Linked DNA regions of Caenorhabditis elegans. The protein of the gene in region 1 purifies or fractionates together with the protein of each later gene. This does not show direct contact. Each region holds a gene or a part of one and is shown in the gene's direction. Other genes may lie near its edges. The genes, in order: rfgp-1, C30H6.8, rskn-2 and arf-1.

Region 1 (7,714 bases):
GATTCTTCATCTCTTCATGTTTTCACATTTTTTGTACGAAATGCGCGAAAGCAGGTACGAAAATTAGTTTAAAATCTTGAAAACGATGAACTTTAGATCTTGCTGTCTGTTTGATTTGTAAGAAAAATGTGAGACTTGTTCGATTGGATGGAAACATAAGCTCAGGAATCAAAATATATTTTGCTGACCCTATAAAAATGGTGGCAGATTCATTGGCGAAAATACAAAAGAAAATAGATTTCCAACAGAGCACAAGAGATCATCTTGTCAAATATTTGACTAAGGAGGTTTGAGCTACAATCAGCTAGGAAGAATTCATAAATTTGGTTCTAGAAAGAGAAAAAACGACAAATGGAGGTATATTTTCGAACGAAAGGGCAGGAATTCGATTCACAAAGGAAGAAGCTAGCGGAGGCGACCGCGTGGATTCAAATGGCAGAAAAGAAATTGCAAGCAAGTGAAGAAGAACGGGTAAAAGCTGAGAGAGAAATTGAAGAGTGTCAAGCAAAATTGAAGTTGGTAAATTTTGTTTTTATTTCGTTCTTTCAAACATTGAATTTCAGATCTATGACAAATTTAATGTCCGCCGACACTCTTGGAATGAACTCTCAAACTCCATTTCCATTCAGTCTTGCTGAATCACAAGAAACGGCACCATCTCTTGTCGAATCGTCTGCAAATTCAACATTTAATATGGTCTCACCGCTAGTTAGCTCTCCAGCTTCATCACCAAATTCCATTAATTATAATTCGTTTTTCGAAAATGGCAGCCGCACTAGACCAGAATCATTAAACGAAGAAGCTATGTTCAATACAATGGTAACAATTATTTGATAAAAAGATTGTCCATATATTCTAGTTGCAGAGCAGTGGACAGTCAGCTAATGCAAACACGTCAGAATCATCAGCTTTCAGTGTGGCCTTCAATAATGTAAGTTGTTATTAGTATACACCGGCTCTCAGAAAGTGGTTCAACACACTTTTTGCGTAGACAATTCTTGTTGTAACATTCGTCCACCCCTTGCCGTATCTTCAAAGTGGTAATGTTTCTCTTGGCTACTCAAAAGCACGCTCCGTTGTGGTCTAGTGGTTAGGATTTATGGCTCTCACCCATAAGGCCGGGGTTCGATTCCCCGCAACGGAAGATCTTTTTTATAAATTTTTAAACATTTTCAAGCACAGTTCTTAATATGACTTAAATTTTTACAGATATTCACCCCATCGCGTAATAATATGGGAGATAGTTCGATGATAAACAAAACTACGGCAAATCAGACAATCATGGACAAAACTAGTATGTCACTGGAAAATTGGAGGCAAAATAGAGCGAATTCATTTGGAGTGCATGATATGTGAGATATTTTCAAAGTATCTGTGATTCCTAATTCATAATTTTCCAGTTCTAAAAGAGATTCTTCGCTGCCCACAGGAGGCGGTTCTGCGATACGTGTTCATCATTTCAAACAGAATTCACGAATTACTCCAATAGCACAAAATCGTCGAAGTGCAGCTGGATTCGACCGTCAGCAGATACAAGAAATGCGTCGAATCTCATCTCAACCCGGTCTGTCATTCACTCTTTTATTCCTCAATTTCCCTCGACCCTCTCATCAACTAACACACTTACACACTTTTTTCGTCTCTCACTCTCTCATTCCGGGCGCTTTTTGCGCCTTTCCGCTCCCTCTATATTCCAATTCTTTCGATTTTTGCCACGTGTACTCTGACGTTTTCAGGATACCTCGCACAAAGGAAACCGATCAATGGTCGGAGCTTCATTGGACCCGCCGATTAATGTTTTAATCTCGTTTTTTTCTGAATTCGTTCTTTATTTGTTGATATATACATCATGTACAATTCAACTTTAATGTTTATTTCATAAAAATTGGGTTAAAAATTCCAAATTTCTTTTTCTCTACCTAGTTCACATCTGATTTAAATTTTATTTGAATATTTCGTGTTTAAACCCTCTTTACCTTAAAATTTTTGAAACTTTTAAGATGGCAAGTCCACGGACCCGAAGAGTGCTGAAAGAACTTCGGCCGTGTGATGATAATAACGTAAGTCTGATATCACAAATGTTATTAACACATTTAAATCTATTTCATTCAGTTCTGTTTCGAATGCGAAGCCAATAATCCTCAATGGGTGTCCGTATCGTATGGAATATGGATTTGTCTCGAATGCTCGGGGATTCACCGTAGTTTGGGCGTACATTTGAGGTAGGTTTCCACAGTTCTCGCTGAATTTTCAATTTTTGTTGTTCAGTTTCGTACGCTCTGTGACTATGGACAAATGGAAAGACATTGAATTAGCAAAAATGAAGGCCGGAGGCAATAGAAAGTTTGCCGAGTTCTTGCAGTCACAGCCAGATTATAAGGAGAAATGGACGATTCAAGAGAAATATAATTCACGAGCTGCTGCTTTATTTAGAGATAAAGTATGTCTTTGTTAATTGATTGAAAATTTAATAAAAAATGTATTAAAGGTAGCCTGTGAAGCTGAAGGCCGTGAATGGTCACAATCAACATCTCCAGCAGCAAACTATGTTCCACCAACACTTGGAGGAATGTCTTCTCAATCCAAACCAACTAATAAGTCTTCAGGGAACTCGTCTCTTGGTTCTTATTATGGTGGAAATTCAAGTTATTCACAATCCACAGGCGATGGGGCATATTCTACCCAAGATTCGTAAGTTTTTGAAACAATTAAAGGTGGAAGAATATTTCAAAATTCCCTAAAACGACTGAATTTTGTGATTAAAAATTTTGAAAATTCCTGAAAAAATGTAATGTCGGATGAAAGCTTTGAAATAAACATATTTTCAGAGATTTGAAAATTTATTTTCATGTCTGAAAATATACTTTCCTATAATTAAAGATGAAGCAACGAAATATGGGACACTTTTCTATCAGACTTAAAAAGTTCGAAAACGACGTTTCGTAGAAAGACGTCCTGAAAATTAAAAAAATATTTTGGTTAAATTTTTTTAATAAATACATATTTTCAAGTTGAAAAAAAGATTCAACTAAAAACTCAAGTTTTGTCAGCCTGTCTGTGTCGCAGCGGCCGCAACGTTTGAAAAAAAAGATATCATGCAATGAAGGGTGATAATTGGAATTTTTAAAGTCCCGTTCGCTAATTTGAGAAACGGTTGCTTCTTTAATTGTATGAAAGTATCTCTCCAAACATGGAAATAAATTTTTAACCTCACGTTTTCAGTTTTCAGAAATTACAGACTTCAAAAATTAAGTTTTCTTACAGTTCCACAGAATTGTTTTTTTTTCAGAAACAGCAAATATCAAGGATTCGGAAATACTGGATATGTACCGAATCAGTCAAATAGTGGAGATGATTTGCTTGCTGGAGCAATGTCTGGTCTTTCAATGGTAGATTTAACCTAGATTAACAATTTTAAAATAGTTGTTCTACAGGGCTGGTCTATGCTTTCAAAAGGAGCTTCTCAAGCTGCAGCGATGGCAAAAGACGTTGGAATTCAAGCTCAGCAGAAAGCGTCACAGTTAAGCGAGAATGTGGTAGGATTTTATCAAAAAGTCAGAAATTAATTTTAAAAAAAGTAAATTTCAGTCTCAAAACAATTCACTATTTGGTGGTGTCGCGAACAAAGCATCAGAAGTTGGAACTAAATCCTGGGATGGATTATCTTCATTCGTAAAATCACCTTCTCTCAATGCCTTCTCTGGTATTCTCGCTAAAACGTAATTTTAAAAAATATTTCCGCCATAATCATTATTTTTTAAATCTTACAGTGGTTACGAAGACTTTGGTGGTGGCGGAGGTGGAATGTCCGGCTCATCGTCGCAAAATGAGTTCAACGACTGGCTAAAACAATCTAATTTGCCACGTGGAACAACTGAAGGTGGAGATCATTTGAGCAATGAAGGTATTTTGAATCAAGTAGATTTTTTCCTATTTTTACTTTTGATTTTCAGAATTGAAACCAACGGAACCGGTAGAGACAAAAAAGAAAAAGGAGAGAAGTGTCAAGCCAGTGCAAAGCAAAGAAAAAGGTATAGTTCATTTCAAAAAGGAATTTTAATAATATTGTTGATTGTCGAAATTTTCAGTAACCGCAGAAAATGTAGAGGATGATGATTCTTCTTCAACAATTACTCAATTCGAGTCTTCATTCAACAAACCAAAGACAACAGCTCCACGTTTGGCTCCAGTAGCCGCCGCACCTCCAAAAAAGAAAGAAGAAAAAGCAAAAGGATGGGATGATGATGCATGGGATCTTCTCAATCAATAGGAATTTTCTTTTTCAACAAACAAATTCCCAAATTTCTGTATTTTCTGTCCCCTTTTCTCTTTTTTAAATAACTTATTTCTGTTTTTCCACTCTCTTTCTTTACCGAAATTCCTTTCCTTTCTAGCCATCAGAAATGTTTCCTGTGATTTAATTTTTCTTTAAAAATGTTTCTAGAAAATACCGGCCAATTGCCAATTTATCGTTTGGTGAGATCACTTTTTGAAATAAAAATGCGAAAAACTCGAAGATTTGAAATATTAATATGTGGTTATTGTTGTTTGGTTTTGGTTGTTGTTTTTGTGAGTTTCAGTTTATATATTTTGTTGAGTTTTTCTTTAAAACTTTTCTGTCCCGTTTCAATGTTCCTGTTTCATTTCCAGATGTCATCTGTAAAAAACAAAAAAGAAAAAGAAGGTAAGCAGAAGATTTGTTCAAATTTAGAAAATAAAATGAACGGAGCTTTTAGCTCGAAAATGTATGAGAAACGGAAAGTTCAGTGACGCAGTCGACAAGTTTAATGAAGCAGCTCATGAGCTCAAGCAAATTGGAGATTTGGAATCTGCAATTTCTCTTTGTGAAGAAGGTGAGATTTCTGAATTTTGAACCTAAAATTGTTGAATCCTGCAAATTCCAAAATTCTGCTTGTTGCTGAAAGTTGCCGCGATTCTTGACATCGATATTTAAAAATGCAATTTTCTGGATTAAACTTTGCAGGGATTATTTTAATGTAAAAAAGTCAATCACTGCTCATTTTCTTTATTACAGGTTCAAAACTCGCACGTGAACACCGAAAATACTTCGAAGGCAGTCTTTGTGAACGTACATTAAGTGAAATTTATGCGGAACTAGGTAACAGAGAATCATGTCTTCAACACATTGTCTCGTTCCGAAAATTGGCAAAAGAATGTGGAAGTCGATCTCAGGAACAACTATCGTATCATGTTGAAGCATGGTGTCTACAACAATTATTTTTGAATGGAGAAGCTGAACGAACTGATATTGAACGAGCAATTGAATTGACAAAAAAGGCTAGAGAACTTGTGGATTTATACAAATCATCGTTTAAAGAAAGTGAGCCTGGTGGAGCACCGAAAGTTCGAAAAGCTCAGCTGGTTAGTTAGAAAAATCAGTTCCGAAGAAAAATTAAATTCAATATTTTTCAGTTCACACTGGAAGCTCAGCTACAAAATCAAATAGGAAATAATGCGAGAGCAATGCAATTGTTGGACAAAACTGAAGGATTATTAAGGTTAGTTTTTTATTCTACATAAATTATTATATTTTTCGGAATTTTCAGAGTAAATGATAAATCTATGAGATTCGAGATGCTCCGTACTAAATGTAGTATTGCTCCTGTGAATCAACGAGTAGATATCGCTGAATTAATGGACGATGACGCATCAGAAGATAAAAAAGCTCAGACTTTATGTGAACTTTCTCATGTAAACTTTCCAGCTGAATATAATTATATGCATAATATATATATATGTTTTCAGCAATATCTCCTTGCAAACCGTCTTGACAAAGCTTACAAGTCGCTCGCAGAAGCTTACTTTTTTCATGAAGCTAGATTTCCAGCTCATGAGCTTGAGGATACTGTCAAAAGAATTTGCATTAGTCAGTTTTTGAAGTTCTCCCGTATCTTTATTACTTTATTTTACAGTTTATCGACTGGTGAAGTATAACAAAATTCGAAAAAATCCACAAATGGAGCCTAAATTATCAAAATGTCAACTCTACGAAGCAATCGGAGATCTTTATGATCAATATTTCCAAACTTTAATGGCGAAAGAGAAGAAAGAATATCGGCAATTTGTAAGAGACAATATTTTGATGAGTTATCAGAAAATGTTAGAGTAAGTGGAATTTATTTTAAATATTTTATTTTAGAGCTTATTTTTGTAGATTCAAACGGAACGACGAAGATGCTCTTCGTGCATATCAGGGAATGGCTTTGGTTTACAGTGATTTAGATGAACATTCAAAATCTTTGGAAATGTTTAAGAATCTATTGGAACTTCTCATGAAAACTGGGGCTACAGAAGAAAAGGTTTGAAAAATATTGAATTTAAATGCAAAGTTAAAAAAAAATAGAATTTTGTGAAAAAAAATTTCATGGTTAACTTTCGGATAAACCTAACATAAAAAAGGTTTAAATTACAATTTTGTTCCCAGAAAACCAAAAGAAAAGGTCAGCTCTGGTTCATTCAACTACCATAATTAAAATCTTAAAATTTAAAATTTATTATCGATTATTTTCAGATTCTCGATACTCGAGTTTCAATATTCGGTTGTATGTGCAAGCTAGACTTTACGGATTTGGAACCAATGTTTAATGAACTCAATGGGAAAATCCTTCGATTAGACACCAAACGTGTATGTTATAATCTCTATATAACATCCTATTTTAATTTTAATTTGTTCAGGAGCTCTACGAGAATTGGGCCAACTACTGGTCGGATAAGCGGAACGAGGAAAACGCGATAAAATGGAAACAAGAAACTGATAATATTCCAGAAGTTGTGATTAAGAATGAGGATGATGAAACTGATGTCTTATACTGGAAACTTTCAGATGAAGATGTGTTAGAGAGATGCAAAGGTATATACACAAAGTTCACAAAGTTCGAAAAAGTACAAGAAAATTTAAAGAAAAATGCAAAAAGGAACCAAGATTTAGACGGAGCCTTTTCGATAAATACATCGCGTTATAAATAATAAGATACAGACGGGATACTGTAGTATTACTGTAGGTTTACTGTAGTTTAGAAAACATTTAAAAAGTCTAGAAAATACTAGAAGTACAAATATCAGAACTGTCTAAAAATTTCAAAGAGCATTAAAATACTTCCAGAGTTACTAGAAGTTCCCATAAAGTTTCCAAAATTTCAAAAATTGATATTTTAAGAAACTTCATCAAAAGAAAATTTGAACACTGGCTCCGCCCATATCTTGGTTTTACGTTTTTGTCGAATGATAGGTCACCTTTAATGTACGAAGTTTTTAAATTGATTTTTTCTGAAATTTTGGCCGTTTGAAAAATGTCGAATTTTGCCTGATTTCAGAAGAGAATGAACTACTCAAATTGGATCTTCTAACGGAACATCAGTTGAACAAAACGAATGATAAAGGAGAAACAGTTTTACATCAAGCAGCAATGAAATCTGAAAATGAAGCGGTTATAGAGCGTCTGTGTAGACGTGTAAGTGGAATTTTGTTTAAAAATCGTGATAAATTTCCATTATTTTAGGGTTGTAAAGTCAATGCAAAAGATAATGGTGGTTGGACACCTCTTTCGGAAGCAGTAGCTCACAATCAATACGGAAATGTTCTAGTATTGTTACGATATGGTGCAGAAGTGAACGCTAGAAGTGCAGAATCATTTATGTCAGAAGAATCACAAAATTCTTCGACTGAACTGAACCATTCTCGATTGACACCTCTA
Region 2 (5,791 bases), on another chromosome or scaffold:
ACATTTCAGACTCGCCACAATGCAACAAGCTGACCAAGTGGTTTACGTGAATAGAGGTCGAATCGAAGGCCAAGGAACATTTGATGAAATGATGAAAATTCAGAATTCGATTGTTGAGCAAGAAGCAAGGCGTCGAGGCATCCCGATGAATGAGCAGATGAGCAGAGTAAATACTCCTGTGGCTCGCGGATTTTCATTAAAATTCTAGAAATTTTTAGACTTTTTCATTTAGTGTTTAACAGTTGAACATGTGCACAAATAAAAAAAACTTATATATTGCAAATCGGCCAGTTTTAGACCCGAAAACACGAAACATGACAAGTTGAAAGGTTTCAAATACTAATCCTACACTAATCAAAGTAAAAAAATTATTTTGCCATGGAAATAGCCGCCAGAACAAAGAGTGAGGATCCTACGATGAAAGACAGCTCCCGGTAGCTGGGAAATTGATCAATCTCAAAGTCGACGTGGTGCTTGTATTTTTGTGAAGCAGCGGCCACTAAAGATTGAACATCTTCTGATGAAGCTTCCAAATAGAATCGGACATCTGGAGGGCGAGAAAATTTGTCGGGAGTTGTATGAACCTGAAAATGTAATAATTTACATGAAAAGTATAGGGGAATTTTGTAACATGTAGTTTAAATATAACTTACTAAATCAACAAAACTCTTCTTCATCTGTTGTTCTCTGGCGGAATTTAAATATACATTCGCTGTCTCAAAGTGTGGTTGAAAAATGATAGTTTTGACGTCGCCAGTCGCTAGATATGTTTGCTCAAAATTTTCCCAAGAAATCGGTGGCAATTTTTCATTGAGATTTCGATGTTCGCTTCGACGTCTGGAAGAAGTTGATTTTGAAGATTTTTTTCCGAAAATAGTTTACTTGTAAAGAAGAATTCCATGCGTCGAAATCCAGATAAACATGAGGCAACCTCCGAGAGCATAAGCGCGGCGTATTTTGGCTGAAAAACATTGTTTGGGATCTGGGCATTTTAAAAATTGGGTTACTTACCTTTATCAATTCTTTCCTGAAACGCTTTCAGTTTTGCTGGGTCCACTTGTTGAGAGTTAAATCGAATCGGCGTCCATCCTTGTAGTCGTGGCACAGAACGGAAGAAAACTCGGGAAAACATGCTGAAAATCGAATGATTTAAAACAAAAATCTGTTAAGGATTACTGTAAATTTTAAAGGAACAATTATATGGAAGGCAGCTTGGTCTCGAGTGGAAAAACGCGTGTTTTCCTCTCGGACAACATGGCAATTAATTTTTTTAATGTGAATATTGGTTTCTTTTTTATTTCATTTATTATGCATAATTTTATGCTAAATAGTACACTTCGTTATTAAATTTTTTCAAAAAAAGATTAGTTTATTTAAGTAAATATTTATTTTAAATGCAAAAAAATGCAATTGAGCGAAGAGAAAGAGGCGTTGACGGAGAAATAAATAGAGAAGTGCGGCAGAGCGCTCTTGCATTGCACACCGCTCAACAGATTTTTCCTTCAATTCCTCTTCTTCCTTTGCTAAATATTTCCGTTATTCCTGTTATGACACGCATCGTAAAAATAACAATTGATATATTTCTTCCAGGGTAATCATGCTAGCCGGTAGTCAGGCTCTTCGCCACCTTTCTACTGCTGCACAAAACCAAGGGTAAGTGTGTAAAATAGATTTTTCTATTTAATAGTATTTTCCAGAGCTTGCGGTCCTGCAGTCAAGCTTCTTCTGATTCAATATGGTCTGGAAAATCGAAAAATTGATGGAACAGGCCCAAAAAACAAAAATATTCTGAAAGGCGATGTTATGAAAATAGTTGAAGCTGAAAAGCTGAAGCCGGTGGCTCATCATGCACATGCTCCAAAAGAAACACATATTGAAAATAAATCTATTGAAAAGGTTTGGAAAAATGTTTCAAAAATTACATATTGTTTTGTTTTGCAGAAATCAGACATTTTCGGCGCCAACAATCGCAGTCTCCGTCATCACCAAGATATTCCTCTCAGCAATATTCGAGCAACAATCGCAAAACGATTGACAGCTTCTAAAGTAAAAATTCGAAATGTTATTATTGGAGAAAATATTTTATTTCAGCAGCAAATTCCTCACGAATATCAAGGTGTTGACGTTCGAATTGACGATATTCTGGCGTTGAGACAGAAATTGAAAAAATCCGGAACTGCTGTTTCGCTCAACGACTTTATCATAAAAGCCGCAGCCCTTGCACTGAGGGTAGGCTTTTCAAAATTTCTTCGTAAATGAGAGCTCTATTTCAGTCCGTGCCGACAGTAAATGTTCGATGGACTCCAGAAGGAATCGGTCTCGGATCAGTCGATATTTCGGTCGCTGTGGCTACTCCAACCGGCCTTATCACTCCAATTGTAGAGAATTCTGATATTTTGGGCGTTTTGGCGATTTCTAGCAAAGTGAAGGAGTTGTCGGGATTGGCGCGAGAAAGCAAATTAAAACCACAACAGTTCCAGGGAGGATCTTTTACGTGAGATTTATTCTATTTGTTTCGGTTACTTCAAATATAATTACAGAAATTATTGAAACGTTCACAACGTTCAAAAAATGTATCCACATCAAACAACTTCTAGAGATCTTTGAAGTTTTTTATGTTTCTGTTCTAATTTCTCGTAAGAGAGAAGAATTGATAAAGAAATCACATGATAATCATGCAAATTTAAAAGCTATCATCCCGAAATGATACAAAAATTAGAAAATTTCAGAATTTCGAATCTTGGAATGTTCGGAAGTGTGACCAACTTCACAGCCATCATAAATCCACCGCAATGTGCCATTTTGACGATCGGAGGAACTCGTTCTGAAGTTGTATCTGTTGATGGACAATTGGAGACACAAAAATTGTAAGGACTGATACCTAGGAAATTAAAAAAAATCTCTGCCATCAAAATTAAATAATCCCATCAGATTAATATGTATTTTTTTCTAGAATGGGTGTCAATCTTTGTTTCGACGGACGAGCAATCTCCGAAGAATGTGCAAAACGATTCCTTCTTCACTTCTCCGAATCGCTTTCTGATCCGGAATTGCTCATTGCTGAACCACTTTCTCCAGAACTCGATTTTGATTTTTCGCGTTTATTGTAGTTTCGAATTAGACAGGATTCTCATACTCTTCATAGCACCGATGTACTCTAATATTAGATAAAATGAAGTCGAATTTTTAATTTGAATGCAATTCGAAATTTGAAAACACTTTCCGCGTGAATCGCCCTAAAAATATCGCGTCGTCCAACATTTTCTTCCACAATTTTCGATTATTTTCAAGATGTCCCCTTCACTTCTTGGTTCATCATTTCTTCGCTCAGCTTCTGGCAACTTCACAAAGTTCGCAAGTATCCGAAATGCACACTTTTTGTCATCGGTTCCAATGAAGAAGCGTGGAGTTGATGGAAATCTACCAAAAGATTATTTCGAAAATAAGGTAGGACTGAATAATTTAAATCACCTATTTACGTTGCAAAATTTATTTTCAAAAATTGAAAAAAAAAGAATTTCAGACAGTAGTTGTCTACTTCTCAGCTGGATGGTGTGGATCCTGCAAATTTCTGACTCCAAAGATCAAGAAATTCTACAATGCTGTAAAAGAATCGGATGCTGGAAAGAATCTGGAAATCGTATGGGTGTCGAAGGACAAAGAAGCAGCCCACCAAGAAGAATACTATGAGAAGAATCTTCCAGACTGGCCATATATTCCATTTGGAGATGAAAATATTCAGTGAGAGAAATTTCCAAAATTTATACTGAAAAAAATTATAATTTTTCAGAAAGCTATCGGAAAAGTACAAAGCAGTGGTGATACCGGTTCTGAAACTCGTTAACTCCAATGGAGATGTCGTTCATGATCGTGTCCGTGCTGACGTAGAAGCTGGAATCAAGGCGGATCCTGTGAAGACTATGGAGGAATGGAAGAAATTGTTGAATCAGTGATTTACACAGATGACTCAACTAGACTTGAATATTATGTACATTTTAGTAGAGAAAACATTGATTATGGGTTCTTTTAAGTAAATAATTTCCATTACAATTTGTTCTTTTTCTCACCAATATTTTCCAGACGAACACTAAATACAAAAAATGCATTCTCGAAAATTCTCACATATATTCCCCATATACATCCTGTTATTCTCTCCCATTCCGCTCACTGAACAACAGCATCAGAAATAGAGAGTCTGAACCTACACGACAACGAAAATAATGATAATGAAACGAGAAAAGCACTAAAAATGGGCAAGGCGGTGTGTGGTTGCTATGGGATTCCATCTCTTTCCCCTCTAACTGATTAGAGAAGCAGTCGGGCAAAAAAAATATTGAAAGGAAAAGTACGCGGTTTTGTTTGGCTTCGTCTCATTTTTTCGTATAGTCTGATGTTCTAATGTTGATGGCAAAAGACATTATTGAAATGGAGGAGAGCGGTGGGTTAACTTCTAAAATTGCTATTTTTATTTCAAAATCTTAGTTTGTGGTAATAAAAATATGAGAGGACGTATGGCAGATACATAATAAGTATATGTATTTTTAATGCAAAAATGCAAGAATTTAAGATATGGGCGGAGACTGTTGTGCTAAATTTCACATTTTATGGAACTGTCATTTTAGCAGAAAGTATCGAATGCACAAAATGTAGACAATGAATTGATAGAGTTGCACTTATTGAACAACTTTTGGAGGATCCTATCACATTTCTTTGACGTTTTTCATTCAACTTCTTGTACTTATAATATTTCTGGCATAAAATAATTCTTTCATAAAAACAACCGATCTTCTAATATTCAACACTTTTAAGTGATCAAAAATTGGAATAAAACAAGAAAATCTACCGTACCCTCTCATGTCTATAAAACATTGAATCCTTAGTGTCGCGGCATCAAATCTATGACTTTGAATCAAAATTCAATTTTTCGGAATAAGTTAATATTTTGTTAAGTATTTCGAAACTTTTCAAAACGGCTTGGAAAACAATACATGAAATTTTCTGGAAGAACCCAAATTTGGAAAAAAACATGAAAGAGGAGCTAGGTTAGTGGTGATTTCACTTCAAAACACTGGAACATTGATATACTCTGGAACACCACAAAAGAGAAACAAAATTAAAATAGAAGAATCTCCCTGATGACCATTTTCTAAATCATTAAAACAAAAATGCCACAAATAATAGGAGATCTTTGTAATATCAACTTTACAGTTATTCATCCTTCCGAAACACGACGACAAAGCGACTTCATACATTCTGGTTAGTCCCCTTCATTTGGTATATATTCAGTTTCGTATTTTCTCATCATTTATTTCAAATATTGATAACTTTGTTTTCGTATTGTTCCCGTTGAATCGACAATGTCATTTGTTTTTTGGTTCCCCATACGCTACAAACTTCACCTATTATACACAAACTCACGTCGTACAATATCCCTAGAGTAAAAATTGACGCACACTCTTTACTCATTTCAATTCGTGAAATTCGCTAAAAATCAGTCAGGACTCTCACTCACATGATATTGTTGATAAGTGTGTGCAAAAATGAAGTATTTCGAAAACTGAAGTATTTCGAAACTAGCTCCAATTATCAAGTATCCAATTTTACCCTGTACAAACTATCTCTGATTAACTCATGAGTCTCCCATTAGCTTTTTTTTACATTTCTTATGTATTGTATTAAAATTAAAAGTAGTTAGTCAAAAAAAAACCCCAATTTACTCTTGAATAATACATATATTCGAAAACTATTTGAAAAAATTCCTTCCTAACACACAAACATTAAATTTGATTAA
Region 3 (10,294 bases), 510 kb from region 1:
ATCAAGCCTTTTGTTCCAGAAATGTACTTTTACAATCATTCACTTTTTGAAATTACTTTTTCTGGAGATTTTTGGAGAGCTAGGAAATTTGAACTCTCAAAACTTTACATTATGTAATTAAGGAATTTGTTTGTTTTTTAAAAAGATATTGTGAGTCGTTTTGATACGCCGAGACTGGGGGCGCTTCTCCTCGCCTCTTCACTCGCCCAACTCGCGCCCGAACTTTTAACTCATGTGAACCTTGTGTTGTATTGTGTTCATATTTTATTTGCATAAAAATCAGTAACGTGAAATTAAAATTAAATAATGCGGTTCAAGAATCTAAAAAAAAACACGAACGTATTAACTGACTTAGGATTGAGATCATCCTCGGTTTTGTTAATTTCATTTGCTCCGATTTTCATGAGATTTGTTGCATGACGTATTCATGCAGCTATTTTCTTGTTTTTCCCTTCAAACTGCTAATTTTTTTTTAAATTCAATCAGAAATTTTTGCAATAGGTTCGCTATTTTTGAATCGGAATTTTTGTCCCTTTTCAAAATTAATTGTGTATTTTTCTTTTTCTTTTTTTTTGATAGATACAAATTTTCAAATAGTAGTTTTCTAGTTTGCGGGCATATATTTTCCAAAATCAGAAGCTTGTAGGAACTTGTATGATTCATGATTTGTTGTGACCTTGGTCTATAATTCATGAATAATATTATTATTATTTTGTTCTTGTTCTGCCATAATAATCACATTTCCCAAACACTTGATTTTTCAAAATCCTTTTTTGTGCTCAATCGTAATTACTGATCCTGCTTTTTCACTCATTTCTCTAATCTTTATATTTCATTTCTCCAAAAAATGTGTCTGAGTCTCTACTATAAACCATTAATCTCTCACTATTCTTTTTCTTTTCGTTTCTCTCTTCAATGCCATTGAAGCGGGGAAAAACCGACGACGACACACACCACACACACACAAACAACACATTGCATAGGCTATATCAAAAAATTATTAAAAATGTTCTTTTTTTTTTGATTCTTATAAAATATTTGTGATTCTTTCCCATGTAAAATTCCGTTTGAACTTAATTAGTGTTATCTAAAATGGTCTCTGATCTTTGATAGTGTCTCTTCAAAAAGAGGGTTGTACGGCAAATGTTCTCTTTTCGATATGGTTGTTTTAGATAAAAAATTAATATAATGTAGAATAATATTTAGTCAATTTGAACACAATTCTTGTTTTGATTGAATTTTTTTAAAAGTATCTAAAGACTGAAAGTTAGTCACTGCTGAAAAAATGGGTCAAAGTTTTGGCAAGTTTCGGTAGTTGGGCTCTATTTCAAACAAAATTTAGGATTATTTCCAGAGAGTTTTCGAATTTTTCAAATTGCTTTTGCTTTCATAAGTTTGCTTATTGCAGAGAAATCAGCAATTTTGTAGATTTTCCGCACACCCTAAATATCAGGTTCGACAAATTTTAAATGTTCTATTTTCAGCAACACGTTTGGATCAATTCTTCATCTCTCATTTGAACAAAAAATTTATTTTTCATCCTAAAATCTAATTTCAACAAAATAACTATCGTTTTTTTCCTTCCAGATGAATTACTAATTTCACTCTAGTTTTTGCAGAATTTTTGCACTTTCAGTTAATTCATTCATATTAAATTGATCTCTATAATTGCAAATGTCATTTTCTAATCATAATCCCATTAATTTCTGAAACTTGATTACGTAGAATGCATAAACTTTAAGTTGGCAGTCCAAATACACATGCAAATGTAAATTCGACCCTTTCTCGCCCATCTGCATTTTTCATTTGAGGTCATTTTACTTTTGTGACCAACTTTGTGTTCTCTGTGGTCTTTTACTCTTTTTTCGTGATGATAATTATAGTTATAGCAAAAAAAACAATTATTGTGACAAGCTGTGTCCAACGTTTTTCATAAATGTTCCTATAACTTTTGCTCCTGGGGTTCGGAAAGTAATCAAATATTTTTAAATATGATTTGTGTGTGAACTCTAGAAAACTTTTAAATTATGCTGTCAGATGCAGAATTTTCATTGACTAGCAAAAACACAAGTCGAATGCAAACTTGATTTTAACTCTAAAAAATAGTATGAAGAATTTTTTCTATTCACTTTTCCATCGTGGGTGCAAAACGGCAAAACAACCAAGATGTGGGCGGAACCATTACACCCTTTTAAAAAATAAAACTAATTTTGGTGAATATTTTAAAATAGATTCGAAAATATTTTGAAAAATACAAAACATTAAAAGATAAATGTATTACTTTTCTGAAAAAATTCCGATGAAAACAACTAATGAACTTGTTTTCATTTTGAGCTTTTCAGTTTCAAGTATTAAGATTTGAAATTCCTAGTTTTAATTTCTGGCCAGTGAACTTTTCTTTCATATTTCGTTTGATGTTTAGTGTATCACTGGTTTTTTTGCAAAATGTTTATTTCTAATTGATTTGAGTTTCTTTAAAAGCAGAAGTGATTAATTTAGGTTATTTTAAAAGCTTCAAGATATTTATTCTTAATATTTATCGCTAGAAACTAAATTTATACAGGCCCCATCATTCCTCTCGTTAATATTTTGTTGATTAGCTTGGTTAGTTTTCTCTTCGTTAGACGAATTCCCCAAATCTAGGTACCTAGAAGCAGTAGAAGTGTTGTTTTGATATTTCCTGTTTATATCTTCCATTTCTCTTACTTCTCACTCTTCTCATTCCTCTAACTTCTGCTTGTTGTGTTCTTGTGTTCCATTTGATTCTGCTCTTGCTCACCGGAGCCACGGCAGCAAATGCAACAAAAGAAAGGAAGAAAAAACGAAGCACACACGCAAAACACATGGCATATTTTCACTTTTGCATCGTTGTCTCTTTCTCTTTCCTTCTTCATCTTCCTTCTTCTTGCTTATGGCTCATGACACCACACCACTTGTGCTCTCTTGGCAGGAAAGCCTGAGCTCACAACTTCTTCAAGTTTTCAGAATATTGTTGGATGGAGAGAAAAGGGAAAGGGGATTTCTGAAAATGATCGGAGGTGAATAGAGTTGGTCAACAAATCTTTCTTTCTCTAGAAGACTTTTCATTTTGTTTTTTATTCTGTTTGCTATGTTGTCCTCTTTTTTGTGCTGTGCTTCTTCTTTTTCTTCCTCTCCTTCTTGTTCTCAACCTTCCAAGCGGTAATGGATTTCTCGTTTTCATTTCCTTTTCTGCAAGATTCATGTGATAATTTCTGTTTTTCCATGTCTCTTTTTTTCGCAGTCTTCATTCCAAATTTTGTATAATCTTCTGATTTCTTTTATTAAAGCCTAAGATCTCAAAACTTAAAACTCAAGATCTTCCTAATGACTTTGTCTTGTGAAATTCTATTATTTGTCATCATTCTCTTGATACTCAGTTATTAGAACTCTTATAGTTAGCCAATTTGTGAGTCATCCTCTAAACATGAATAAATTTGAAAATATTGTCATAATTTCGAAGTTTTCATGGATTTATTTAGATTAATCTTTTAAAGATTGAAAATATTTTGACAAGCTCCTTTAAGTTCGAATTTCAGAAGAATGCAAAATTACTTTTTTTTTGGAAAATTAAACAACTACTAGATTTAGTTTTGAAAACTAATATGTAAATTATTAGATCTGCAAAAATTGAGTTTGTTTTTTCAATATTTTGTTTTCACTCTATTCTCTTCTGCTCAGTCGATTTCACTTATAACCTTGTTATGCCTACGTGCATATTTGCAAAACCTCATTTCGTGCAATTTTTATTTTTCAGGTGATTAAACCCGAAGAACACAAAAAATAGGCAGAAGGCATACATATATAGAAAAAATGGAAGATATATTGATGCCTGAAGGAGAGAAAGTTTCCATGGAGAACTTTGCTCTCCTCAGAGTTCTTGGAAAAGGAGCATATGGAAAAGTATTCCTTGTGCGAAAAGTTGGTGGAAAGGATCATAATACTATATATGCTATGAAAGTGTTGAGAAAGACCAGAGTGAGTTATTTTTGGAAAAGAAATGAATTTAAAAATAATAATTTCTCATTTATACGGTGCTGAACCTTTGTATTATTATTTGTTTTTTCATCTCTCGCCAAGAGCGAAAAAACCGACAATTGCCGGAATTCATATTCTTGAAATGGTTTTGAACTTTTCGAAACAAATAACTGGATTGAAAAATTTTTGAGAGATGGGAAAGTGAGGTGAAATAAAGTTTATAGATTAGTATTTTAATATGAAACGAAAAAAAAACAAATTTGATTGCAGGTGCTCACAAAACAAAAAACCCTGGAGCACACAATGGCAGAGCGTCAAGTACTTGAACGTCTACGTGGAACACCATTTCTTGTCAATTTGTTCTATGCTTTCCAAACTGATACCAAATTGCACATTGTAATGGAATATGTGAGAGGAGGAGAATTATTCACACATCTTTGCTCGAGAGGTCATTTTGATTTAGAAGCTGCTAGATTTGTAATTGCTGAACTTGTGGTTGCAATTGATAGTCTTCATCAAAGAAAAGTTATTTATCGAGATTTGAAGCTTGAGAATATTTTATTGGACGAAGAAGGACACGTTAAGTTGACAGATTTTGGATTAAGTAAATTGTTTCTACCCGGAGAGTTGGATAGAGCCAATTCATATTGTGGAACTATTGAATATATGTGAGTTTTGAAATTTCCAGCCAAAGTTTAGGCACACTGCCAAACGTATTTGGAATTAAAAAAAAAAAGAACTTATCAAACCTCAGAATTATTTGCATGTCAATAATTTAAACATGATTAGAATATACAATTCGTAGTTTTTGATGTAGTTCCAAAATTAGGATTAACAAAAACTGGGTAATTGCTACTTTTTGGTTGTATATTAAAAGGTATCATTTTTTGTTGAAAATTATTGATCATTGATATTTGATTATTGAGCTATTGAATTTTTTCATTGAGATTTTCATATAATTCTTTACAAACGAAAATTGGCACAGACGGCTGTGTAAAAGTAATTTCTGAATAGATAAGAAATAAATTCTCAAGTTTAATGATTCCAGGTCGCCAGAAGTAATCAATCGCCCTGAAGGAGGATACAGTGATGTTGTCGATTGGTGGTCTTTGGGTGTAATTTCATTTGAATTGCTCACTGGATGCTCACCATTTACTGTAGATGGAGCACAAAACTCTAGTAAAGATATTGCCAAGTAAATCATTTCCTCATTTTCTTTATAATTTCTTCGAGTTTTAGACGAATTATGACAAAGAAGGTCCCTTTCCCAAAAACTATGGATGTTGATGCTCGCGATTTCATCGGCCAATTGTTGGAAAAGAAACTTGAAAAACGTCTCGGATACAATGGAGTTGATGAAATTAAAAATCATAAATTTATGTCAAGTATTGACTGGGATGCAGCTGTTAAGCGTACATTGAAGCCAGTGATTGTTCCAAGAATTGGACATGATTTGGATACACAGTTCTTCTCAGCTGAATTCACTTCTCAGCCACCATTATATTCTCCTGCAGAGTCACCATTAAATGCTAATACTCTGTTTAGAGTGAGTTTTTTCTTAACTTGGCAGGCACCGATTGCCGGATTTTGAGCCGAATTCCGAAATATGTTTGACAAAAATAAATTTCCAGAAGAAATTATGTGATTACAGGGATACTCATATGTCTCCCCATCTGTTATATTTGCCAATGACAATGTTATCGGTGAAGAACTAATGGCTGAAGATGTCAATGCACTTCTCGCGAGTTCTTCATTTTTTGCCAAGTACAAACTAGACAAGTCGGACGCTGGTCTTTTAGGAAAAGGAGCTTTTTCGGTGGTCAGGTAAATTTTTATATTTTCATCAACATTTCATGTGCTGGAACTATTTTCTAGATTCGAAAATCTCGAAAAAGTTCAACAAAACGTTATTTTTACATAGTTTTAAAGATAAAATATACAAATTCAGACGATGCGAACGCGTAGTTGACGGAGCCCAGTTTGCAGTCAAAATCGTATCACAAAAGTTCGCAAGTCAGGCTCAACGTGAAGCACGAATTCTTGAAATGGTTCAAGGACATCCGAATATTGTTCAACTTCATGATGTACATTCGGATCCTCTTCATTTTTATCTCGTCATGGAGATTCTGACTGGAAATGAGCTGCTCGAGAGAATTCGAAAATTGGAACGATTTACAGAGGTTAGAATTCTTTTAAGCATTTCTTTAATTCGGAGTTACTCTGAAAATTAAATTTTTAGAGTGAAGCAGCAGACATCATGCGGCAGTTGGTATCAGCTGTGAAATATCTTCATGATAAAAGAATTGTTCATCGAGATTTGAAACCAGAGGTGAGTTTCAATGATCAGATTATGTTAAGTGGCTGCAAAATAATACAAAACATAAGAATAAAATACTTCCAAAAAGTGAAACAAATTAATAATTAAAGGTGGAGTATACTCGAGTAGTTAGAAAATTATGACGCAATTTTTAAAAAAACGGGCACAGTTATTCTTATTCCAGAATATTCTATTTGAAAGTATCGATTCAAGTGCCCGCCTTCGTCTAGTCGATTTTGGATTTGCACGTCTACTTCCAAATTCAATGGAACAACAACTGAAGTCTGTTCAAGTTCTGCGCAAGATGTACGGTCTCATCGCACACAATCATTCACTCCACTCGGAGTAACATTTAGTCTAGTCAAAAGTTATTGTGTTTTGTCTTTTTTCACTCATTATTGGGCATATTTTTGTTTTTTTTTCTTAACTGGGAGCATGTGTCTCAAGCTGAAAATTTAAAAGAACAAATGTTCGAAAAAAGTTACTTTTGGTAGAGAGGAAGACGGTGGTGTGTGATGTTTCGTGCATTCTTGTTACAGATTATCTTCTTTTTCTATCCTTTTAAACCTTTCTTTTCACTTATCTCTACTAAGGGTTTCTTTCTTGATTTCAGAGATTTTTGAAGAAACACACTCATTCTCTGACTCTCACTTGATTTTCAAGACAAAGCTGTTTACTAACAATTCACAAACACTCACATTAAGTTTCTCAAATTTTCTGTAAACTTGAGAGTTAGAGAATGCCCAATTCATCTTTGAATAACGTTTGTTTTCACTAATAGCTTCTATATATTTGCCTAACTCTCACTATGAAATTCTTCAATCATAATTACAGGACCCCCTGCTTCACACTACAGTATGCTGCTCCAGAAGTTTTAGATGTTGGAGATTCTCAACCAGAATACAACGAACAATGTGATTTATGGTCACTTGGAGTTGTACTGGTTAGTTGTATAATTTTGTAATAATTTAATGTTTCAAAAATCGAAGTAAAAATTTTGAGAAAAAACAAAAAGACCCCTCAAATTTAAGAAACGATTGATAATCGATAAAAATCACGAAATGGAAGCATGCAACTACAGTACCACATCGTGAAAAATTTTTTGGACGCATTGAGAACCCTGGTTATTAGAAATTCATAAGAAATATTTTAAATTGTGTGGCACATTTTCTACGAATAAATTTTTCAGTTCACAATGCTATCGGGTCAAGTTCCATTCCATGCACGTTCTCGTCAAGAATCGGCAACTGAAATAATGCAGAGAATTTGTAGAGCAGAATTCTCATTCACAGGAGACGCATGGACAAACGTGTCAGCAGATGCTAAGAATTTAATAACCGGTCTTCTTACTGTGGATCCAAAGAAACGTCTTTCAATGCAAGAGCTTACAGCTCATATGTGGCTCAAGTCTTCGGCTTCAATGGATACACCACTTCAAACTCCTAGTATTCTGCCATCATCAGCAGGTAGTTAAACTGATGTTATTGAAAATTGAATAACCTAATCTTTTGACTTTTCAGATGAAACATTCAATGAGACACTGCGCGCATTCCTCCACGCTAATCGTGATGGATTCCATCTTCTCGATGTTGCTGCTGCTCCTCTCATGAAACGACGCGGAATCAAAAGACAATCTGGGGACAAGGATGCTTCTGGAAACTCGAAAAAGTGAGTTCAAGAACCCTAATATTTGAAACTCCTCCAATTTGGGGTACGGTTTCAAAGTGCACAAGAAACACCACATTTGACGACATTTCTCTAAAATTTTATTTTTTAGTTTTTAAGTTTGCAAATAATTGTAAATTCCTTATTTTATACTATTTAGAACGTCTATTCAAATATTATATTTATGAAATTATTAATAATAATTATTTTCTAAAAAAATATGATACTTCTAATTTTGATCGCATTGTGAACATTTTCGTTTCTGAAAATATACTTTCATTTTCAACAATTTATGTCATTTTCCAGTTCGCGAGTTACCCAATTCGAGTGTCTTCCGGAAGAACAAGAAGCAGAGATGACATCATCAACATCCCGTCCAAGCAATTTGGGAATGATGAACTATCGAGAACCAAATTCTGGAACAATCCGAGAAACTCGTGGCTCAGACTCCTCCTAGACCTTTTTCTTTGTTTCTTTTAATTTTTCTTCCTTTCTGTTCCTGTTTCTCTCACTGTTTGCGTTGTGATTCTTTCGTCCTAGATGCTTTCTAGTCTGTACTCTCTCATTATTCTCACTATTTTACAAATTTTCCGTCACCTGACACTTGTGGCATTGCCTTCTCTATGAGTACAGTTGCTGAAATGTTCATTGAACCTGTAGTGATTGTCATTTGTTAGATATTTCGCATTTCTAGTCAATCCTCTACCAATTTTGAAAAATATTGTGATTCGTGCATTTCATTTTATGTTATTATATCTAGTCTCATGTAAATTTCTAATTTTTTATAATCATTTTGTTAGATACACATATCTTTATTCATCCACCTATCCCCATGTAATCTTTTCATTGTCTCCAGTGACTCCCTGAACTCTTGAACCATTTCCAGAAATTCTTCCATGTTTTGCGATGAGCATGATTGACTTGCCAATCGACTTTTTGAAAGATTAATAAAATTAAGTAATTCGTTTTACATATTTATTTTGGAGAAGGTTTGAAAGCTCCGAATCATAATATCGATTGAAGCATCAACGTGAAAACCTGATGTAATGTGAGAAAATAAAATATGGAAGTGAAAGCATTTTAGAGAATATTTTTAGCGATAAGAGCTTGGTGAAGACGGTGAAGTGGCAAACCAACCACATTCGGCATACATCCTTCGATTCCACGAACGAAGACAGCGCCAAAGTCACCGATTCCATATGAACCTGCTTTTTTCCTGAAATTTCGATTTACTAGGTCAGTTATTCGTGTTTTTTTATTGGAGTTTTCAAATGTCGTGATGAAAATGATGAAAAACGTGATGAAAATTTTAAAAATCCCTCAAGTTTTGCAGCTCTTTCAAATACTCATAAAATGTTCAAAATTTCTTGACCGCCAATTTTTCTTTCATTTTTATGACTTTAGATAAGAAATTCAATTCCAAAAATTTTGATAACTTTCAATCAATAAATATTTCCATAACTTTTTTTTGCTAAAAAAAACTAACAATGGCTCTCCGCTTTTTACATATTCGTCGATAACTCTATCAGGAATATCTCCAAAATGAACAATTGTTTTCTCGATGATCTCTTCATATTGATCAGTTTCATGATAGTGTAGAGCCATTCCAGTATATACATTATGAGTATTGTTACGAAGTCTGAAATTAATTTATACAATTATGATGTTGAAAATTTAATTACCTTTTCAAAGTTTCTTTAGCGTCATTGGCATCTGTTGGTTTTCCAATAATTTCTCCATTGAATTCGATTACTGTATCACACGCAATAATAACAGAGTACGGCTCCTTAATAATTCATATATTAATATAATATCTCAGTTTTTATAATTTCAATTTTAGATTTTAAAAATATGGTAGCAGGTCTCGATATGCTGCAGCACTCTGAAATTTTGCGCAAAAAGTTTTAGGTCGCGTCGAGAAATGTTGCCGTATTTTTTTTGTTGAATTCCGATTTGTTTTTCAACTAATAACTATATTCTCAAGTTACTGAAAAAATAACTATACCTCTTTTCTTTTCATTTCTTCCACAATAGTCGTCAATTTTCCTTTAGCTGTTTCAATGACAAACTGCTTAACTGGCAATGTTTTTGGTAGATTTTCCTCGAAATTTGAAACTTTTACGATTACATTTTCCAATCCCTGAAACCGAAATAAATCTTTCTTTTTGTAGATTCTCATTTTCTCACAATTTGCTGCAACAATTTGAGTCGATTTGGTGACTGACTTGCCAATACAATAATGGCTTCTTTCATTCCGAACTTGCCGTCGTGGGCGAAACACGTGGATCTGAAATTTCGATCGGCTCTTGTGCTCAG
Region 4 (6,319 bases), on another chromosome or scaffold:
TGACGCTGGCAAAGCTTACAAGTCTCCAACTCCAGTTCTCAATAATAGGTTTATTAAAGTATTTTGGCATAATCCTGGAGGCGAAGGATCCGAAAACGCAACTGGAAAGCCGTCATCTCCAACTTCTCCACCAAAACCTGTCGAAAAGCCGAAGATTGCCACAGTGCAAGAATCAAAATTTGTCAGTGTTGCTGCTCAAAACTATCGGAAGCAGATCCAGGATGCTAAAGAACGATTAACGAAAGAGAAGAGTATTTTATCGACGCTAGTTCAGGCTCAGAATCAGCATAATATTATTCTTGACAAGTGGATGGTTAAACAGAAGGAGTTGCTCATCAAGGCGAGAACGTCTACTGATGAAACTGATAAGAAGAATGCAACCAAATTGGTCAAACATCTGCATAAAAAAATAAAGGCATGCAAGGAAGAAGTCGACGGAATCCTGCTCAAAATATCAGAAAAGTCAATGGTGGTTGATGAGATTGCAGCCCAAATTGAAGAGCTTAAAAATCCACAAAAATCGGACGATTCGACCCGGAAGCGAAAAGCAGGAAGCGATGGAGACGAGCCCCAATCTAAAATGAGCAGTGTTGTCATCGTTCGAGGTGTAACAGTGAGTTTTCTTTAAATTGTAGATTTTAAAAACACATTATTTCCAGGATGAATTGGTCACTGATTTGATGGCACATATGGAGAAGTTCGGTGAGGTTTTTGATCACAGTGTTAAAGCCGACGACGATGGTCTCATAACAGCCGTTTTTCCGTTTAGAAAAACAGGTGATGCGTTGAAAGTGAGTTTTCAGTTTAAACGGGACTCGATTTTAAATAAGATGTTAATTTTTAGGCAATGGCGGATGGCAAAGTTCTGAATGGTGTGGACCTCGAGATGGAATTGAAGACGGAGCGAATCGAGGAGATCCCTTCAACTGATACGAACATGTCTGCCGACCAGTTGCTCGCTGCAATTCCGAGCAATCTTGAGGTAACTTGGTTTTCACTTGAAAATTAAATTTAAAAAAAGATTTCAGTCTGACGAAGAAGATGACCTGCTAAATGATTAGTCCTAGTTATATTAGAACTTTGATCTCAAAATATTGTCTTGGTGATCTTACTCGTTGTTTCCAAATGGTTACTTTTCTAGTTATCTGGCTGGTTAGCCTATTTAACCTCAGATTTACCTCAATTTTTCTTCCCGTTTATTATTGTTGCCTATCAGAAACTGTTTCGATTTTTTCTATTGTATATCCATTATAATTTATCACATTTCCTCTCTTATCATTCTTTAATTGTCTTCAGTTTAACTGCCCATTTGGCAATACTTTTTCATCTTCATTTTTTATTGTTCTTGGCTAAGAACTTGTCATGTGATCTGTTCAGAATCGCAATGATTATTGATTTTTACCTGATTCCTTGACAAGTTCCCATTATTTTTTCGTTCATTTTTGTTGTTTGCATTATTTCTATCGATATATCTCATTGATGAAAAAGCCAGCAAAAAAGAGCAAAAGAGAGCAATAACTCCACTAAATGAGAAAAATAAAGTAAAAGAATACATAATGGCTGTGATCTCGAAAAAAAATCAGCGAAAGAATAAAAGACGGGCCACTGAAAAGTGAACGAGTACAAAAAGAGCCCCTCCCGAGTGACGAGTAAAAAACGAGTTAATTTTCAATAAAACACAGGTATTTTTGCGGAAACCGGTGTGTTTTCGTCGTATTTAGCCGTGAATTGCCAGAAAATAAATGATTTTAATTTTTTTTTTCTTTGTTCTTTCTTAACTTTATTCCTCCAATTTTTCTTGCTTCGACGTTGCAATCGTCACATTTTATCTTTGATTTGATCGTCATTTCATTTATTTCCGAATTTGAACGCAAAAAGCTCGAAAATCAAGGTTTGTGACTCCTAATAATTACTGCAGAAAGTAAGAAATTCTCGGCATTTTGAAAGGCGGAAAGATGAACTATCCTAGATTGGCGCAAAGGCATTGATCTATACTGTCTGCGGCGGCCGGTTTCTATTAAGCTTTCATTTTTCTCCAGCACATTCTTCAGAAGCGCCACATTGCTTTAGTCGGAAATGCGGGTCATCTATTTAGAAAGTTTGGCGCTTTGTATTTGATTTAATATTAATTTTCTCATCTGATTCTATTTATTAGTCACAGTATCTCGTGCTGCACTCTTGTGACACGTGTCCTTTTTTCAGAGTTTTTAATTGCGTCACGATTTTCAAAATTTCTCAACAATGCGCTCGCGTTCAATAGGTTTTTCTTCTCTCAAAAAGCATTTTTCATCACTTTCTTAATGTTGCAGTTTATCGTCTTATCACTCGAAAAAGTTTGTTTCAAAGTTCAAATTTTAGAACTTTCGGGTTCATTCAATCAATCAATCAAGATTTCACTGAAGGATTGAAAGATTCAACGTACGGCTGACGTGGAGTCAGTAGAAGGAACTCGAACATTACTATTCTCGTTCCTGTGTGTATGTGTTCTTCATCCTTCCGTCCTGCACTAGCGGACAAATTTGGACGGTCTCTTGTTCTTTTTCGCTCTCTCCTCATCTCTTGCGGTACTTTCACGTCTCGGTCTCTTCACTTATTGCCATCTATCTCCTCTTATTCGACCGCTGCGCAACGCACGCGACGCGCCCAGCGAACAAGACAAAAAGCAGCGTCGAGAGGTTGAGAGAGGAAGAGACACTCCACTGGTCGCCAGAGACTGCTGTGCTAGTGACACGTTGGACGGTGTAGCCGATGTATTTCTGCTGGATTCTCGCTCCTTGCGCCTGTTATAGATATCCATCTCCTTGCCACGTTTTACCCGATTCTTCCTCCTTCCAATCGTCTTCCGTACTTTTTTCTCCGATTGTCGTTGCTGGCATTTTCACGTATTGGATTTGAAATCTTCCCGAATTTTTCGCAATTTCCCACGAAGATTATTGATTCAGCTTTCACATTTTATTAGCGTTCCTTTTCACTTCCATCGGTTCCTCTTCTGAAATTCAATAATTTAATTTATTAATCAATTTATAGAATGGGAAACGTGTTCGGCAGCTTATTTAAAGGCCTCTTCGGCAAACGGGAGATGCGTATTCTGATGGTTGGATTGGATGCTGCCGGAAAGACTACGATTTTGTACAAGTTGAAGCTGGGCGAGATTGTCACGACTATCCCAACTATTGGTGAGTCATTGGGACGTTTTTTTGTTGCGAAAGAACGGTTCACAATGAGTCATAATTTTTATTCATATTTCAGGATTCAACGTGGAGACTGTCGAATACAAGAACATTTCATTCACCGTGTGGGATGTCGGAGGTCAGGACAAGATCCGTCCACTCTGGAGGCATTATTTCCAGAACACACAAGGTTAGTGATTTACGAGAATAGTTTGCGGATCAGCTTATCACCCGCAAGAATTCACAGACTGTCCAAAAAAAATGCTCTATTGATTATATTTTCTTGCAGGACTTATCTTTGTTGTTGATTCCAACGATCGTGAACGTGTTGGAGAGGCTCGTGAAGAGCTGATGCGTATGCTCGCCGAGGATGAGCTTCGTGATGCCGTTCTTCTGGTCTTCGCCAACAAACAAGATCTTCCACAAGCCATGAACGCCGCTGAGGTCACTGACAAGCTCGGGCTCCACTCGCTCAGAAATCGATCGTGGTATATTCAGGTGAGATATTTTTAATCAGCAGTTTCTCATCTGATATTTTAAAACTAAAGAAATTCACTATTTTTCAATAATAAATTAATTCCAGGCCACATGTGCGACATCAGGAGATGGTCTCTATGAAGGACTCGATTGGCTCAGCAACCAGCTCAAGAATAGATCTTAAATCATTTTTCTGAATCCACCTTCGACGAATAAACGACTACGAATCATCCGTTTTTGTTATTCGTTTCAACTCCTTTCTTCTCCCCATTCATTCTCTTTGTTCTTCTCTGTTCCATTTGAAATTCCCTCTCCCATCCCTTAGGCTTTTTAATTTGATCACCATCGCCCTCTTCTACTTTTTCAACCCAATTTTTATTTAAAGCCCCAATTCATTTGTCGTCTATTTCTTCTTAACTTCCAAATCCGACATTTTTTCTTATCCGATTACATTTGGAACCGCTCCTGACGGGAATAATATGTAAGTTATTCATTGTTTTTCTCTCCATTTTTGACCTGCTCCGCCCTCCATCTCCCTCAAATATTCCCTGAAACAGTGTTGTGTAACGAGAAGAAGTATGAACGTGTTTCTCTTCTCTTGTTGAACCATTATTCTATTTTTGTGATTTTTGCGCGTAATTGCACACAAACCTACACACAAATCTCGTTTTCATCGTTCCCTTCCCCTCGAACCTTTAATTTCGCTTCTCTTCTATTTCGTATCGAACACTGTTTTGCTTTTCCTCAATTTTTCCGTATTATAGTATCATATTCACCATTTTTTTTGTCGTGGAGTAAATTATTATGTTATATTCACCTGTTGATAATGACAATATGAAAGTATGAAAATGATCTTTTTCCTCAATTTGGACAAGAAATGTTAATTTTTAAGGGTAATTTATTAACACATGAGGCGTTATACTATGTGCAAAAATTTTTAATACGGAAAAACTAAATTCTGGAATTTCGTATTGTGCAACTTGTCTGGCGCACAGATATCACGTAGCGAAAAATACAGAAATTATTTACATTACTACTGTAGCCATGGTCTGATTTTGCTTTGTTCTTTTTCACTTTTTGACTCGGAATGACAGAAAAAAGAAAAATAGGATGAAATTCAAATATTTCGGTCACAATTCGAAAATAAATTATGTTCTAAAATCGAGCCCGTAAATCGACACAAGCGCAACAGTAGTCATTTAGAGAATTACTGTAGTTTTCGCTACGAGATATTTTGCGCGTCGAACATGTTGCTCAATGCGCATTCTCAGTGTTCACGTAATACACTGAAAATACAGTAATCCTACAGTGCTTCTAATGTACCCTGATACTATTCCCAGACGTATTCCAATTCATAACCTCTCCAAATCACCTAAATTGCACAATTAATGGAACTACAGTAATCCAATTATATACTTACTGTACCCTAATACTATCTCTGCTGACTGAGCAACTATTCAAGCAAAATTTGAATAAAAGGGGAAGTTACGTTAACAATCTCAAGTTTTTATAACGAATAAAACATGATAGCTGAATTGCACAAATATTTTGTTACAATTATTGAAATCAGGATCTTTATTCTCTGGCGTACCTATAACACAAAAAAATACCAAAATTTCGGCGGCTTCTTTTTTTTTTTTAATTTTAGACCAAATATATTCATTTACTGAAAAACTAAAATAAAATACAATATGGATAATAAACGAATATTTTGTCTCCTTGAACTAAACTTGAGGAATTCAATTCTAGTACAGTAATTATAGTTGTGCAACTCATCATAAGCATGTAATATCCTCCAAATGGTCCCATCTTGTGGAAATATTACGTGGATGACTGGTAGCATTACGTCACTAATGCTCATTGGTTGTGAAACGATGAATAGAACCAGCCAGTCAGCAGTAGCAGAATACCCCCCTATACACACCGTTTATATGATTATAGGGACGGATTAACCTCCCGTTGAGTGAACGCATTCATCACCAGACAGGGTTCGCAGTTGTCACATTTAGATTTTTTGAATCGATAAGTTTTATAAAGTATTTTTTTGTTCGTTTCATCGATCCTTTTCTACATGTTTTGGATATTTCCCAGCCAATAATTCCTGCACTTTTTTCAATATGCTCAATTTTGTTGACTAATTTTTCATATTCGAAGCAAAAATGATATGAAATGCAATTTTTAAAGATTGATAAGGCCTGCGTATTTCAGACACTTAGACGAATTGTGAGCTTTGTGTTTCATAATGCATACAAGTTTTGGTCTCGTTCAGAGATGCTTACGTGTCTGCCAACCGCCTACTGCCTTAGAAGTTCAGTGTTAACTTTTGAAGCACATGGTAACCAAACTTTTCACACATATGATGTCACGCAATTTATACAGGGAAGTCCCCAAAAAACCCAATTTTATACAAAATTCCGAATCTCTAGTAAAAACTTTCTAACCTGTCATCATCAAATCTTCCTCCTCTTCAATAAATTCGATTAATCGTCTCTCTTTCCAAGTGAGACAGTATCTGCTCACAAGATCTTTTGCCTCTTTTCCCTCGATGGGGCACCCCTATCCCTCAATCAACAGGTTTTTCTAGATTCGAAACACCACCAAAAAACTTTTTTCTGTCATATTGTTGTGTCTGATCGAGTAAACGTCAAGGTTTCTTATTCACTCGTTCGAAA

The links.
Region 2: the proteins of rfgp-1 (region 1) and C30H6.8 fractionate together in Caenorhabditis elegans (co-fractionation; one large-scale study listed by BioGRID). This does not show direct contact.
Region 3: the proteins of rfgp-1 (region 1) and rskn-2 fractionate together in Caenorhabditis elegans (co-fractionation; one large-scale study listed by BioGRID). This does not show direct contact.
Region 4: the proteins of rfgp-1 (region 1) and arf-1 fractionate together in Caenorhabditis elegans (co-fractionation; one large-scale study listed by BioGRID). This does not show direct contact.

The regions. Positions count from the first base shown.
Region 1 is NC_003279.8:8,523,558-8,531,271, reverse strand, and holds rfgp-1 (ADP-ribosylation factor GTPase-activating protein 1), read left to right. Parts: upstream 1-2,000; coding exon 2,001-2,060; intron 2,061-2,112; coding exon 2,113-2,222; intron 2,223-2,268; coding exon 2,269-2,440; intron 2,441-2,488; coding exon 2,489-2,691; intron 2,692-3,289; coding exon 3,290-3,389; intron 3,390-3,434; coding exon 3,435-3,536; intron 3,537-3,588; coding exon 3,589-3,719; intron 3,720-3,770; coding exon 3,771-3,904; intron 3,905-3,953; coding exon 3,954-4,031; intron 4,032-4,088; coding exon 4,089-4,270; 3' UTR 4,271-4,514; downstream 4,515-7,714. Other genes in the region: zhp-3 (Zip homologous protein 3), read left to right, coding at 1-54, 97-287, 334-515, 564-819, 860-931, 1,210-1,352, 1,401-1,564, 1,737-1,795; tnsl-1 (Tonsoku-like protein), read left to right, coding at 4,651-4,684, 4,737-4,853, 5,036-5,382, 5,434-5,519, 5,568-5,712, 5,767-5,887, 5,934-6,126, 6,176-6,320 and 4 more.
Region 2 is NC_003282.8:17,379,038-17,384,828, forward strand, and holds C30H6.8 (protein-disulfide reductase), read left to right. Parts: upstream 1-3,291; coding exon 3,292-3,447; intron 3,448-3,523; coding exon 3,524-3,741; intron 3,742-3,790; coding exon 3,791-3,953; 3' UTR 3,954-4,042; downstream 4,043-5,791. Other genes in the region: haf-1 (HAlF transporter (PGP related)), read left to right, coding at 10-208; C30H6.9 (Altered inheritance of mitochondria protein 36, mitochondrial), read right to left, coding at 369-584, 654-837, 883-961, 1,012-1,132; dlat-2 (2-oxoacid dehydrogenase acyltransferase catalytic domain-containing protein), read left to right, coding at 1,598-1,653, 1,698-1,896, 1,942-2,046, 2,092-2,229, 2,274-2,494, 2,730-2,867, 2,954-3,110; C30H6.12 (BESS domain-containing protein), read left to right, coding at 4,399-4,438, 5,209-5,256.
Region 3 is NC_003279.8:8,010,637-8,020,930, forward strand, and holds rskn-2 (Ribosomal protein S6 kinase), read left to right. Parts: upstream 1-3,773; 5' UTR 3,774-3,831; coding exon 3,832-3,996; intron 3,997-4,266; coding exon 4,267-4,664; intron 4,665-5,044; coding exon 5,045-5,191; intron 5,192-5,235; coding exon 5,236-5,542; intron 5,543-5,647; coding exon 5,648-5,820; intron 5,821-5,944; coding exon 5,945-6,176; intron 6,177-6,235; coding exon 6,236-6,325; intron 6,326-6,497; coding exon 6,498-6,619; intron 6,620-7,147; coding exon 7,148-7,256; intron 7,257-7,502; coding exon 7,503-7,782; intron 7,783-7,833; coding exon 7,834-7,981; intron 7,982-8,284; coding exon 8,285-8,435; 3' UTR 8,436-8,944; downstream 8,945-10,294. Other genes in the region: dod-18 (Nucleotide PPase), read right to left, coding at 9,059-9,194, 9,465-9,617, 9,661-9,764, 9,984-10,118, 10,166-10,231; C54G4.7 (AB hydrolase-1 domain-containing protein), read left to right, coding at 10,218-10,294. UniProt on the Caenorhabditis elegans protein: Serine/threonine kinase that may play a role in mediating the mitogen- and stress-induced effects on transcription. May repress transcription via phosphorylation of 'Ser-1' of histone H2A. May phosphorylate histone H3.
Region 4 is NC_003281.10:5,713,088-5,719,406, forward strand, and holds arf-1 (ADP-ribosylation factor 1-like 2), read left to right. Parts: upstream 1-3,027; 5' UTR 3,028-3,028; coding exon 3,029-3,176; intron 3,177-3,249; coding exon 3,250-3,360; intron 3,361-3,459; coding exon 3,460-3,668; intron 3,669-3,753; coding exon 3,754-3,831; 3' UTR 3,832-4,457; downstream 4,458-6,319. Other genes in the region: rbm-26 (C3H1-type domain-containing protein), read left to right, coding at 1-613, 660-791, 845-982, 1,029-1,061. UniProt on the Caenorhabditis elegans protein: Small GTPase involved in protein trafficking between different compartments. Modulates vesicle budding and uncoating within the Golgi complex. In its GTP-bound form, triggers the recruitment of coatomer proteins to the Golgi membrane.